2 linked regions of the Caenorhabditis elegans genome follow. The protein of the gene in region 2 interacts with the protein of the main gene of each other region in a pairwise test. Each region holds a gene or a part of one and is shown on either strand. Other genes may lie near its edges.

The links.
Region 1: the proteins of aex-3 (region 2) and cab-1 interact in a two-hybrid assay, tested with the Caenorhabditis elegans proteins (one study listed by BioGRID).

What each region holds. Positions count from the first base shown.
Region 1 is NC_003284.9:12,199,576-12,207,401, forward strand, and holds cab-1 (Protein cab-1), read right to left. Parts: upstream 6,058-7,826; coding exon 5,859-6,057; intron 3,968-5,858; coding exon 3,876-3,967; intron 3,816-3,875; coding exon 3,509-3,815; intron 2,617-3,508; exon of another isoform or gene 2,470-2,616; intron 2,176-2,469; coding exon 1,864-2,175; intron 1,819-1,863; coding exon 1,755-1,818; intron 1,708-1,754; coding exon 1,626-1,707; intron 966-1,625; coding exon 744-965; 3' UTR 81-743; downstream 1-80.
Region 2 is NC_003284.9:756,707-761,805, forward strand, and holds the start of aex-3 (MAP kinase-activating death domain protein), read right to left. Parts: upstream 3,027-5,099; 5' UTR 2,996-3,026; coding exon 2,767-2,995; intron 2,524-2,766; coding exon 2,346-2,523; intron 2,274-2,345; coding exon 2,133-2,273; intron 2,084-2,132; coding exon 1,936-2,083; intron 1,747-1,935; coding exon 1,594-1,746; intron 1,543-1,593; coding exon 1,234-1,542; intron 1,128-1,233; coding exon 1,005-1,127; intron 958-1,004; coding exon 658-957; intron 608-657; coding exon 460-607; intron 410-459; coding exon 42-409; intron 1-41. UniProt on the Caenorhabditis elegans protein: Guanyl-nucleotide exchange factor that regulates small GTPases. Converts GDP-bound inactive form of rab-3 and cab-1 to the GTP-bound active forms. Regulator of presynaptic activity that interacts with rab-3 to regulate synaptic vesicle release.

The sequences.
Region 1 (7,826 bases), about 11 Mb from region 2:
ATTTTTCCAAGATATTGTTTGAGCGTCATGGCATTCTCTAAAAAAAACAGTAATAACTCATACTTGATTAAAAACCTGATCAACATGAATGATTTATTATCCAAAATTTCACTCGGATAAATTTATAGTGGACTCGGTGGGTCGAGGTGTGCGAACGAACTCATCGATGGTAAATGATGATGAATGGGGTGGTTGACAAACGGATCTCTTTTTTTTATCTCACAAAAATGAAATTAGGAATTCTGATTCGGAGAAGAAAAAGTTTACAATAAACGATTAGAAAAATGTGGAAATGTGTTAGATGGTACTCTCTCTTTTCACCGGTGTTATGCACAAACTACGAAATTGTTGGTTATAGGGGGGAACGATTCAACAACGGAAAGGGGAAGCAATTTTAAGACAGAAAAGAGAACTAAGCAGTACGCTTAGTTTTTACAAACAGGAATTTAAGAAAGTTGTCTTGGTTTTCCAACCCTTCAGGTGTTAAGGCTGAAGGGGGTTTTTAAGTATTTTTTTTGTTGTGGCTTTGAAAAAATGAATGAAAAAGATGATGAAAATGATGGTTGTTGTCGAAAAGACTGATCATGTTATTTTTGAAATAGAAAAACGTTGTTGTTTCAATTGTTATTATCATTTAACTTTTTTGTTGAGAATACAAGGTAGTTGATAATTATTCGATTTCTCGAAAGAGGCTAAATACAAAGGAGAGGTTGCCGATATGTTCATCGAGCACCACGTCGAATTTAGGGCTGAGCAGCAAAGTTCGGGTTGCAAACTTCGATGTCACCAGTTGGAGCAAGACCCGGGCACTCGTAGACACTGTAGTTGTTCTCTTCGTCCGCACCGTCTTCTCCGTCGGACTCGATGATTCCTGGCGCATCTTCTCCGCAGATGATCTTCTGTTTTGCCTGCTGGTACTGGTGGAGTTGGGCTTTGTAGGCCAAAGTCTCATCTCCCTTGTTTCCCTGAAATCATGTTTGTATCACGTGTCTAGTTTTCATCTCATATCATATTCGTCTGTAATCGAGCCAAATCGGAAAGCGAGATATGGGATTTATTTGAATCAGATTGCTCTTTTCCGGACTCTGATTTTCAGAATATTAATCACGCGACACTGACTCTTTTTCTCTAACGCACAAGCTCTCACATTTCACATCATTTTTCTCGATTTCCTCTCTCTTTTTTTCAATGTAATTCTGTTAATGGATTAGCTCAAAGCGACCTATGCATATGATGTATGGGGGGAAATATACTCGTTTTTTATGTGAATATGCACATGAGCTGTGTGTGTGACCAAAAGTCGATGCCGAGAGCTCAAATCTATTTCTAGGAAACGGGAAGAATAATGAAATTTGGATGACAAAAAAATTGAAGCAAATTTAATTGCAAATCGCAAACAAAAAACCAACCAAAAAAGACAAACGTGACCTAATATTCACACTTCTCTGAGTTTTTAACAGCACAAAAAAAATTTCAGCAAAAACTGATAATACAATTTTTGGGTTTTTTTCTGAAAAATAAGTTTTTATATTTGGCTGTTATATTTTTGACAAATTTAAAATATTAGCCTAAATATTTCTGTTATGAAAAAACAACGTTGGCGAACGTGGAGTTGAGATTATTACCTTGTTCTTACGGAATCCTGGTCCAGTTCCGGCGTATGGAGCGTACTCTCCATCATCTGGGGTCTCGGTACGTCTGTTGTTCCTAAAACACGCATTCCATTAATTTAAAAATTAATTCAAAAGTATTACTTGTAGTAATAGGTTCCTCCGGCGACGGTACCAATAAGTCCAACACACATAACAGTTCCGACTGCTGAAATTTAGAAAATAGTTGCTTCCTTGACACCCTAATACAAACCTAAAAGCAGAAGGCTGCTGCTACTGTATCTCGGTGCACTTCCTGAATACTCAGCTGAGGTAGCAAGACGGCGTTTGTCAACGGTTTGAGAAGAGATGGTCTGCTTGGCTGGTTGGGGCTCTTGTTCCACAAACGAGACGAACTCGTTTTGTCCTTTTTTCTGGGGTACCTGTGGCTCACCAGTGGCAGTCTGCATCGCACTTTCGAGCGACTCGACGTTCGCCTTGGCGGAAGGTGTCTGCTCGGACAGCTTCTCCTGGGTCTTCTTGAGCTCTGATTCCTTGGCGATTTCATTCTCGAGCATCAGCTCTCCTGAAACAATGGTTTTAGTTGATAGACATCCAATTTCACATCCCATCCACCCTCTTAACGTCACTCTTTTATGTATTTTTGTGTTTGCATAGCGCATGTGTGTTTCTGAAGCTTTCAAAGAATCCAAATGAACTCAATTATAAGCTATTTAGGAGATAGATAGATGAAGTGGATAGTCACGCGGTGGCTCTTTTTTCTTGTTTTTTTTCCTTTTATTTCCGTTTTTTTCCAGCTTGCACTAAATTCTTCCATTTATTGCTTCTGTTTGCTCAATCTAAAAAATAAAAAGAACATTTTCCTAGTATTCACGTATGTCTGTTCTCCAAGATTTTCCCGTATTGCCCTAGCCCCGGGGCAATCGGCAATGTGTAGCGCACTCCAGGAAATATGACTTCCTGGCAGGAAAAAAAAGAAGACGGGGCACATTACGGAGGACAACATCAACATTTTAAGCTTATTCACGTCATCGGGGCACGAAAACGGAGCACCACATGCCTGCTTTGCTATTCAAAATCTTTTGAACTCGAACTTTGGTGGCATTTTTGATGATGTCGATGGGATTTTTTCGTGTGCTCAAAAATGATAAGATGGATTTGAACGAATTTAAATACTAAGGAATGAAACACGATTTCTTTGAAATTGAAGACAAATCAATGAGATATTTGTTGGTATTCTTAACAAAAAAGTTAACAAAACATGGAATAATATTTCAGTTTTAAACTGGAAACTTTTGAGTCTAAGTTTTAAAATTACTATGGTAATGCTGAAGTTGGCATAATTCCTTCAAAATATTCAACTACCAATTTCACATTCCTTAACCTATCTTGTGAAAAATGGTTAAACAGAAAAATAACCAGGACTTTCACAACCGAGTGCAAGAAAATATTTCTCCAGTTGAACTATTGGAGTGCTCCTATAAGTTAAATCATATTTCTTATAAAATCATGACAAAATATATTTCTACTTCACAATTTTTTTAATAACACAAAAAATTTCTCAGTATTTCCATCTCCAAAACAAAGTTGGGGGGTTAGCAGAACTCCATTCATCGTCACAGTTTTTGTTGTTGTCGGTTTAGGGTTTTCGCCCACTTTCTAATCATTATAAATGAACACATGCACATGACACACTTACTCACTCCCTATTTGCGCCACCCCTCTCCCCATTTCATTTCAAAAGGCAGAAGCACACAGACAAAATAGAAAAAGAAAAATATGGCTGAAATGGGAAAGTGAGTGGAACCGCCAAACAACACCGAAAATGAAATGAAAAACAAAACAAAACAACGCAAAACTAAATCGGTTTTCAAAAAAAGAAATTACCCCTTCCTTACCTCTCAACAAATCATCCAAGTCAAATGGCTCCTGGGCAGGTTTCTGAGCAACTTGCTTGTGATGCACTGGAGCCAAAGGTGCCTTCTGTTCAGCATCCTTGACAGCGGCATTGGCTGGTTCTAGAAGCTCCTGCTCATTCATGAGTTGCTCCAGCCACTGGTTGAGCTCATCCTGATGTTCTTGTTCTGCTTCTTGCTCAAAATTGGGAAACTGGGCCGGAACTGGATGACTTTTCATGTACTCAATGAGGTACTCCATGTAGCTGTCATCATCTTTGTATTGTTCCACTTCCTTTCCATAGTACTTCTGAAATGTTGAGAAAATGGGAATATATTGCAAAGTTTTCTGAAAACGTTCTGAACTAACCAACAAGTCCTCCTTATTTATCTTGTCATCATGCGCAAATTCAACATATTTGTTGGCTTTGTTATCTTTTCCATTTTGGACCGCTCCTCCTTCTGAAAATTCTAACTGTTTGATTTATGCATGATCATTATGCAATTTGTTTCTGATACTAAAAACTAGAAAGTCATTGTGATATCACTTTTTAAGATTTCGCTAAAATGTAAAAAGATTATGGGATTTGTTTCTTTTTTCTAATAAAATCCAATCAAGTTAGAAAAAAACGTATCTCGTATGCTTTTTGCATTTTAACTGCATAGAGGCCTAAGGTATCAATTGAAGATTTTTTAATGGAAAGTGTTTGAAAAGGTGCTTCACTACTATACGGTATTGAAAACATTTCTAAATATGACATCTCCCAGAAGTACAATTCCAATCACTGTTGGTTGACTTATTTTCTCATTTAATCTCAAAATAGTATCCCTTTTTTTTAGTACTTAACATTGGTTGACTGATTCCAAGGACACTACATGTTCGTGCTTTTTCACATTTTCAAATAATCTATTTTTAAAATAGTGCCTGCCCAAGTTCAAACATTCCAAATTCTGATAATCTGGCAGAATTTTTTTTGAGTCAACATGAAGAATAGAAGAAAAGTGCGATTCACGCTTCGTTAAAGAAGCTGATTTGAGATTTTCTTCTTTTTTTCGCAATAATTCTTTTTTGATTTTCCAAGAAAAGGAGTGGGTTTTTGGCCATTGAAAAATTGTATTCTTTCCATGAAGAATTCTATTCATTGAATGTGCGAAAGAAAGCAAGTGGAATTGGATTTCTTGCTGACTCATATTGTAAACTGAAGATCCTCCAGTATTTTCGCTTGTTTTTTAATCTGTTTTGATTGATTATTTTTTGTAATTTCTTAAATATAAATGCCTCAAGACCATTTGTCCAAAAATCCACAAAACACGACAAACTAATCAGAAGAAAAATGAAATTGTAGAATCAAAAATGTACATGAGGGACTTCCTTTTTTCTTCCCACTTCCGCTTCTTTTTTGTATCTATCCAAGAGCCGTGCTCAATGAGTCATGTGAGAGCTCACTCTGTCACTGAGCCTGCCTTAATGAGATGTGGTGCGGTGATGCTCTCAAATGAAAGTGTTGCACTTCTTTGGTACAAATCACGTGCCCTTTTACACAAGGAGTAAGTGCTCCCGCCATATTGGAGAAAAAGTGTGGGCGAGATTGAAAAAAAAATAGGCAGGTGAGTGAGTTGTAGGTGAATTGAAAAATGAAATGAGCAGAGAAAATGTCACTAAATTGCACCTGTCATTTTCTGAATTTTTGAGGTTTCTTTTCTTTGCTTATTTTTTTTCTATTTTTCAATTTCCAAAGAAAAAAGTTACAGAACATGAAGTTGGACTTTAAATAGAAGATGGAAAATGACAGCTTTTGCAGGCTTGATTATGACGGAAACCGCTTATAATGGTAACGAGTGGGTGTAAATGCTTATTAATCAACTAAAAATTAAAAACAAAATAATCAATCACATTCGGTACCTTGTTAAAGTTTATAAATTGAAACAAAGTTGCAATAACAACTTGAATAGTTTTTTAAAATTTTTTAAAATCTAGCGACTGATTTTCAAAAAAAAACTGACACATTTTTTTCAAAAATACTACGCAGAGAGCTAATTATTAATTGTGTTTCATTTTAGTTTCAATTTATGAAACAAATTTAAAACAATTTCAAACTGAGAAATCGAAAAAATTAATTGAATCAAATTGAGAAATGGTTTTAGTTTTTCATACCCTAGGAAGTTCAACAACAACTTAACATTACAAAAAAAAGTATTAACTCAGTAAACAATTTTTCTGAAAATGCTAGGTTAATGGTTACTCTTGGCTTGCAATTATAACTTTTAACAACAACAAAAAACATTTTGAAACCATATAATCATAAACAAAAAACTCCCCTCTAATTACCCTCTTAATATAAATCAGACTTACCTGTGAAGAGTGCGGCATGTGTGGCAGAAAGGCAAGCGAGCAGCGCAACGGCTCGCCACATGCCCATCCCGTATGAGTGCCGAAGAGTGGTTCTAGCTGCTCGGCGGTAGCTCGCCGAGTTTAAGAGGCGGGCCTGCGACTTGGCTCGCGACGTCGTCGTCGTCGTCGCTTTCTTTTCGTCTGAGAATGTATACCGCATCTGCAAGAACTCTCTCGTTGGTTGGAGGATGACGTGCGCGTAGGAGACAAGGCGGGCTGCTCGCGCACTCCTTCATTTCATTCAGTCGCCGTCGTGTCGCCGTTGCCTAACGGCTACACTCACTCGCACACTATTTTTCAGTTTCTAGAAAGAGGCTTTGAAAAAGGAGGATAAAAGAGGGAGGAAAGGAGAAAAACGCCTGAAGGCAATATCTGAGCATTGGAGCATGGACCCCGAAAAAAAGAAGGGCCCCCCTCCAGCTTCACTAACATATATGCATGACATACAGAGAAAGAGGAAAGGGACAAAACGGGTCTTGTGACGGACAAAAAAGGAAAGAAAAAGAGATAGATAGAGAGAAAGAAAGCCGTCCTCATCATCTTCCTCTTTGTTTCCGGAGCCCTCTTACAACAAGTGGAGAAAGGAAACGGGTGCCTCTTCAAGATTTTCAAGTTAAGGGTTTGTTTGACTTTCATTTCATTTCAGCTGCTTCACGGTGGCTCATTTTGTTGCTGTTTCAGGGCATTCTAAGAATACATGATGTAGGATGAAAAAGGCAAAAAACGAAGAGGAAGCAATAGTGCCCGAAACTTAGCTAAACATTTTTGGAAAAGTTAATAGTTGCTGAGACAATATGATTGGTTCTTTCAGTGAAAAAAACCCCCTTTTTTTGAAGTTGAAGGTTTCTAAAACCAATAATGTATCATTATAAAAACCCAAAAAACAACAAAATAGATCTATCAGAGCTGCACTTCCTATAAAGTTCAAATTTTTTTTTGGTAATCAAAACTTTAGTTTGTTTTTGCTTTAGAGACTTCCTTATTTCTATTTTTGCTCCTAACTAAAAGGAACAAAAAAGAAGCTAAATCAAAACATTGTACTTTTCAAGATCCAATCTATAATTTCAAGTTTATTCATATTTCCTCAACACAGGTTCATAATGAATGTCACAAAACACTTTTAGAAATCAAATAGCCTTTCACCTCATTTTAACATTAAAATGTTTTCTATTCCACCTGCTCGGAGAATTGCCTCTGATGAAAAATTACATTTATTTTAGTAACCATAAGGATTTCAGAGTATAACAGGAACAAGGAATACTCATTCCACTAAACCATAATTCATTGAAAAGTGGTCTGATGTCTGTTTCAGACATGCTCATTGATTCTCATCACTGCTTCTCCCCCCATCTACATTTTTTGGTTAGACTCGGAACCCCTAGTGTTCTAACAGACTCAAAACAAGAAAAGAGTGTCAGATGATGAGTCTGTTTTTGAGCAAACGTTCTTCTTATTTTATTTGGATTTTATTTCATTATCCATAGCACTTATGGTTCTTAAAAAAAACCGATCCGGTTCAAAAAAGATGTCATTGACGTCAATGGTGAAACTCTTGAGCCGAAAAACTTGAGATCTTCACGTTGTCATTGGAAACTAAAAGTGTATCTGAAACTAAAAAATGTTTTATGAAGAGGCGTCGAGCATTAATAACACGCTTTGGCGGAGATGAGCAAAATATCTAGATATAATGTTAATTGTGCGCTTGGTAAGACGCACACACACGTGACTTGTGAATATACAGAGATATTTCAGAAAAATATGAAAAAAGAGCTCATTAGCGATGTGCGAGCTTTTGTCGTTAGACTAACTGGCTCAATATGATCATGGCTCCAAAAGAAATGAGCATGCAAGTACTTATCAAGGACATTAGCCAATATTCACAGAATTGGAAAACGTAGCACGGAAAGTCGTTATGGGACCTCAACCTTT
Region 2 (5,099 bases):
TGAATACCGAACCTAATTTTTTAAAGCAAATCACTACTCACTTTCATTCTTAATCCAGATTTAATAGAACCCCTACTAGTAGGTGTATCGGAAGCATCACTTCCAGGATTATGAATTGTCTTTCTTCTTTGTGACACTGGAGTAGATTCATACTCAGAATCGCTCCCATGATCAAACGAGAATGCTCCTTGAGAATTAGATTTTAGTGCTAAATTATCTGCAAGTCTTGCAAAGTCCGCTTCACTATCAACTGCTGACGTGGAAAGTGAAGAGTCCGGACTACTCCTTCCACTGCTCAATGAGCTGTCAATTGACACGACACTCTCGCTTTGTGGGAGTTCTAATGTCATTGGCTCTTTGTAAATGTAATTTACTTCGGCGAGTGGTTTGGTGACTTCTCCTCCGGCATCTGAACAAAATGGGTTGTGCAACAAAATAAAGTATATAACCTTAAATTACCTGTAACTTGGTTTTCATCAAATACCAAATCATCAATGCTATTGGAGTTTTCCGTAGAAGTTGCACTATCATCTTCATAGTCATCATTATCAATTTCAGCGTTGTACACACGAATGGCAGAGTCTAATGTGGAATTGTTGGGGTACACCTGAAGCAAATACTTGTACTATAATTGGGTCTACAAGAAACCGGACTTACCATAAAATGAACAGGCATGAGTGATTCGCTGAACCACTTCGGTTTATCGCCAACTTGCTCGGCACTCTCAATTCCCGCTTGCACTCTAACAAACGTCTCATTTTTGGGACAAAGACAACATTCTGCAAAATATTCCACTGCTTGAGTTCGACACAGGTCAGTGATCAATTGTGTGCATTGCGGACGACTTCGAAGAAATGAGTCCGTTTGCAACGACACCACTGGCCTGGGGTAAAGCCGGAGGGTTCTGGTATGTTCACTGAAGTTTCCGAAAACATTGGCCGAGTTGAAGAATTGAACCTGGACAATGATGCTTTATTCAGATAGGTTTGAAAAATATCATATACCATTGCAACTCGACATGCTACATCGACACTGTCAATGTCGATTCCAAAATCTGCATCTGTCACGCTGGTCTCATTGTCCACAGTCATAGTAGTCATTTTGTTAATGGCATTTTTCAGACGTTCCTGAAAATGCTAGTTTTTGAGATTAACCACCAACATACGAAACTATCAATATGCTACAAAATATATTCGAAAAAGGACGTCGTTTTTTTTTAAATAATCAGCTCACTTTCAAATGTGTGGCGTCTGGTTCAGGAAGATCGGGGATGTATAAATCATCTGGAACCTGTAGACAATTTGTGTCCAAGTCAACGAGAATGACATCTGACGGGAGCTCTCTAATTTTGCGATGATGGAAAAACGATGAAGGGACACCAATCAAAAACGGAGTCGGAGCAAGAAGAAGCTGCTCGGCGGATGGCATGTAAGCTGGCAGGAGAGGTATGACAGGAAACATGTATTCCAGTGGGTATAAAAGTGCTACTATGGAGAGTATGCACATGCTTACAGCGTTGTAGTTTCGGGATTGAATAACAATCTGAATAATGTTAACCTTTGTGAAAAAAAAAGTTTTTAGTTCAAAAATTACCTTAAACTCCAGCATTGCTGCGGTCAAAACACGAAGAGCCATGTCGATACCGAGGATTTCAAACGGAATGTGCAATGGGAAGTCGATTAGTGTGAATCTGGTATGATCCGGAAGGGCAAACTCAAAAACTTGTGACAGATCCATAGGCATCACCTGAAAAAAATGTTCTGTAGAACAGTTACTAGGCATCTAATAATTTAATACATAGAACCTGTAGACATAAGTAGTAAAATGTGGCTAGGTTTTGCGAAATTGGATTTCAAGGTCTAATATATTTTTTGGAATTTAAAATGTATTGGAAGAATCTATATAATTCTAGATCAATTTAAAACATTTTCTTGCCTCAATTTGAACTTTGGTTTTTCCTGGAACAGGCACTGGGGAGCTTAACAACATTAAGATCCATGTCTCAATCTCCTTAATTTCCTTCATCACCTCCGGTACAATTGGCTCATTATAATGACCTGTAAGTATTGCCCAAACGACGTCTCTGTAAATATAGAATTCATGACGATCGCCTCCTTCACAAAAATACTCACTTGAGCCCAGTCCGCTGTGCGGCTCTGTGATTGCTGCTGTCAATGATGCGCTTGAGAAGAAGAAGTACTTGATGAAAAATTGAAACGAAGGGATGGTGTGAAATAAAGCAGAGACTCGTCAATGAGACGTGGGAGTCGCGTCTGAATTGCAAATTTTTTAGTATTATAGAAATATTACCACAGAGAATTAAAGAAGACAAAAAGATAACATACTTTTTGTGGTGAGCATCATCTGGAACCTTCTTGATTTCATCTTTAGGAGTTGAGCGTCTGTCGAAAGATTGGTAAAAATTAAGGCAGATTCCATATCGAACTTTTGCAGAGTCCTTTTCCGTCAGCATGAACACAAAAAATTGTGGATCATTCCGTGCATTTTTGCGTAGACGTGCACCTGGAACATATGTATTCTAAATATTTGTAAGGTTGTGATAAAAAGTTCACCTCTGGGTTGAAAAAAACAAATATTTCAAAATATAGAAAAACAACATTCCTCAATCTCAAAAAAAGTGAACCATGACATGGTAATTTTTTTGAATATTTTTTAGGGGAACAATTCTCCATGAAGACCAAATTAAATTATGAAGTGTAATATTAATTTTTTTTTTGAAATGGCATTTCAAACAAAACGACTCACTCGTAGTAGTACATCCTTCCGGTTGGCAAAACACAGTGACATCAGTTGGCAATATAAAATCTTTATGATCATCGGTTGGGTACCGTCTTAGAATTTCAGGATATGTGACTGTGGTGTCTGTAGTGGCATCCGGGCTGCTTTGACTGGCTCCTCTAGTACGGTTTCGCTTTCCTACGACAACCAGAAAGTCAATCAGACGAGGGCATATCTCTTTTTCTTTGTCATTCATTTTTTATTAGGATAGGTACATTGGTGCAAGCCTGGACAAATTTTGAAAAAGTTAGAAAAAAAATCCAAGATACAAAATGAAGAAAAAAAAGTATGCTCTAAAAAAGTTTTTTTTTTTAATTTAAAAAAATAGAAACAATAAGAGGTAGTTATTTTAATTTTTCAAATATTTGTTGTGTAACTGTTTACATGATAGATTACAAACGAAATTTTAAGTAAGGTTTAATATAAAATTTCATAATAGTAAAATATTACTTTTTTTTAAATTTCAGAAACTAGACAGATAATTTCTAGAAATTTTGAGTGTATAAACTATATATTTCAGAATAAACTATAAAGGTTTTTTTTGCAATTTTCACAAAACGGAACAGAAGAAATTAATTTTGTGAAAAATTGTTAGAGAATACATTACATTTTTTCTTAATACAATAATCTCAAAATTTGTTTAAAATTATTTAAATAAAATTCACAACATATAACCACATCACATACTTTTTCCAAGTTATATTATACAAAATTTCAATATACTTAACAGTTGAGTTATTTATAATTGCTAGTCTATGCTTTGTTTTTAAATTTTACATATTATTAGTCTCATCTAAAACCTTAAATTATAAAAAAACGAGTGACGTCAAAAATTGCGATTTGTTAAAAAAAGATGACGTTGGGTTCGAAAGAATAATTGATGGCCGGAACGTGTGTCAAACGCACTTTTCCATTGGGGAAGAATGTAAAAAAGGAGCATTTCGCAAGAAAATCAGAACATATTTTCTGACTTTAAATTTGGACTTCATTTGACTGGAATTTGAGTTTATATAAAAATGAAACTATAAGATTAAGCAACAAATCACAATAATAAAAAAGCTAAAATATTGGATGTCGTGGGAAGAAAGAGAGGAAAAAGGGAGGAAAAAAGAGGAAGAACAGAATGAAGCAGTGGAGGTGCAAGAGCCCCCCCCCCCCCCCCCCCCATGTGATGGAGAAGTGTGTAGACCAAAAAGGGGCATAGGAGGCCGATGAGAGAAGAGACGTGTGTATGTGTGTGCATGTGTATTCCTTCTCATTCTCTTTTCCCTTTTCTGTTTCGCCCCCTCGCTGCTATTTTTGAGAGGAGTGAAACGAATGGATGGCAAGAGAGGGAGGACGAAGCAAAGAAGTGAAGACTGAGTTCCAAATCAATAGAGGGAGAGAAAAACAGAGAGATATACACGACAAAACATATAAGTTTGTTATTATGGGATACCAAATTCCCAATTTGTCCAACTTATAAATGTGGGAACACTTTTTGTATCGTTTTTCACATGGAGAATTGAAGCGGCAGTTTTTGTGGAAGCTTTGTATTTGAAAAAAAAATTCAGGTTTCAAAATTTTAAATAATGTGTTTTACATACTCAAGTACCTATAAAGCAAACGTTTATATACTGACATGATCGACATCAAAATTAAAAAAAAAAATGAAAGAACTACTCACAAATATGCAATTGAAGTTTTTTTTATTTTAAAGGTAGAGCAGCGCCAGTGGGGAAACTGTTAAAAACTACTCCAATGGTGCCAAAATGACCAAATATCATTTGAAACTCTCCAAAAAATTTTTGAAATTTTTTTATTTATTGTCAAAAAGTGACAAAAAGTGACAAAAACAAATTTATTTTTTACTTGTTTTATACTTTAATTTTGTTTTTATTATTTGTATTAAAACATTGTAGGGGTCGGAGCATTTGAAATTTCTTTGGATTTCCTCAAAAGCTCATACTTTTTATAATTTTGGTAATTTGTGAAAAATTTTGACCGGAAATTATGACAAATCTAAATTTTTTTGGTATTTTTATTATGATACTTGGTCATTTTGGAACATTATAAGTGTACTTAGACAAAATTATAAGCTATTTATTCACAGTTTATTTATTCTTTTTTTTTCAAATGCTCCATCAGTCAAATTGAAATTATTTGAAGTGTCAATTGACCATTATAGAATGTTGGAATGTTATTCATTGTAAACATTTAGGGGAACAAGTGATACACAAGTACCAAATATAATAACTACCGTAATTTCTCTATTAGTCTTGCTTGCAAAATTAATTTTCGCATTGCTCGTAGGGGGTGCA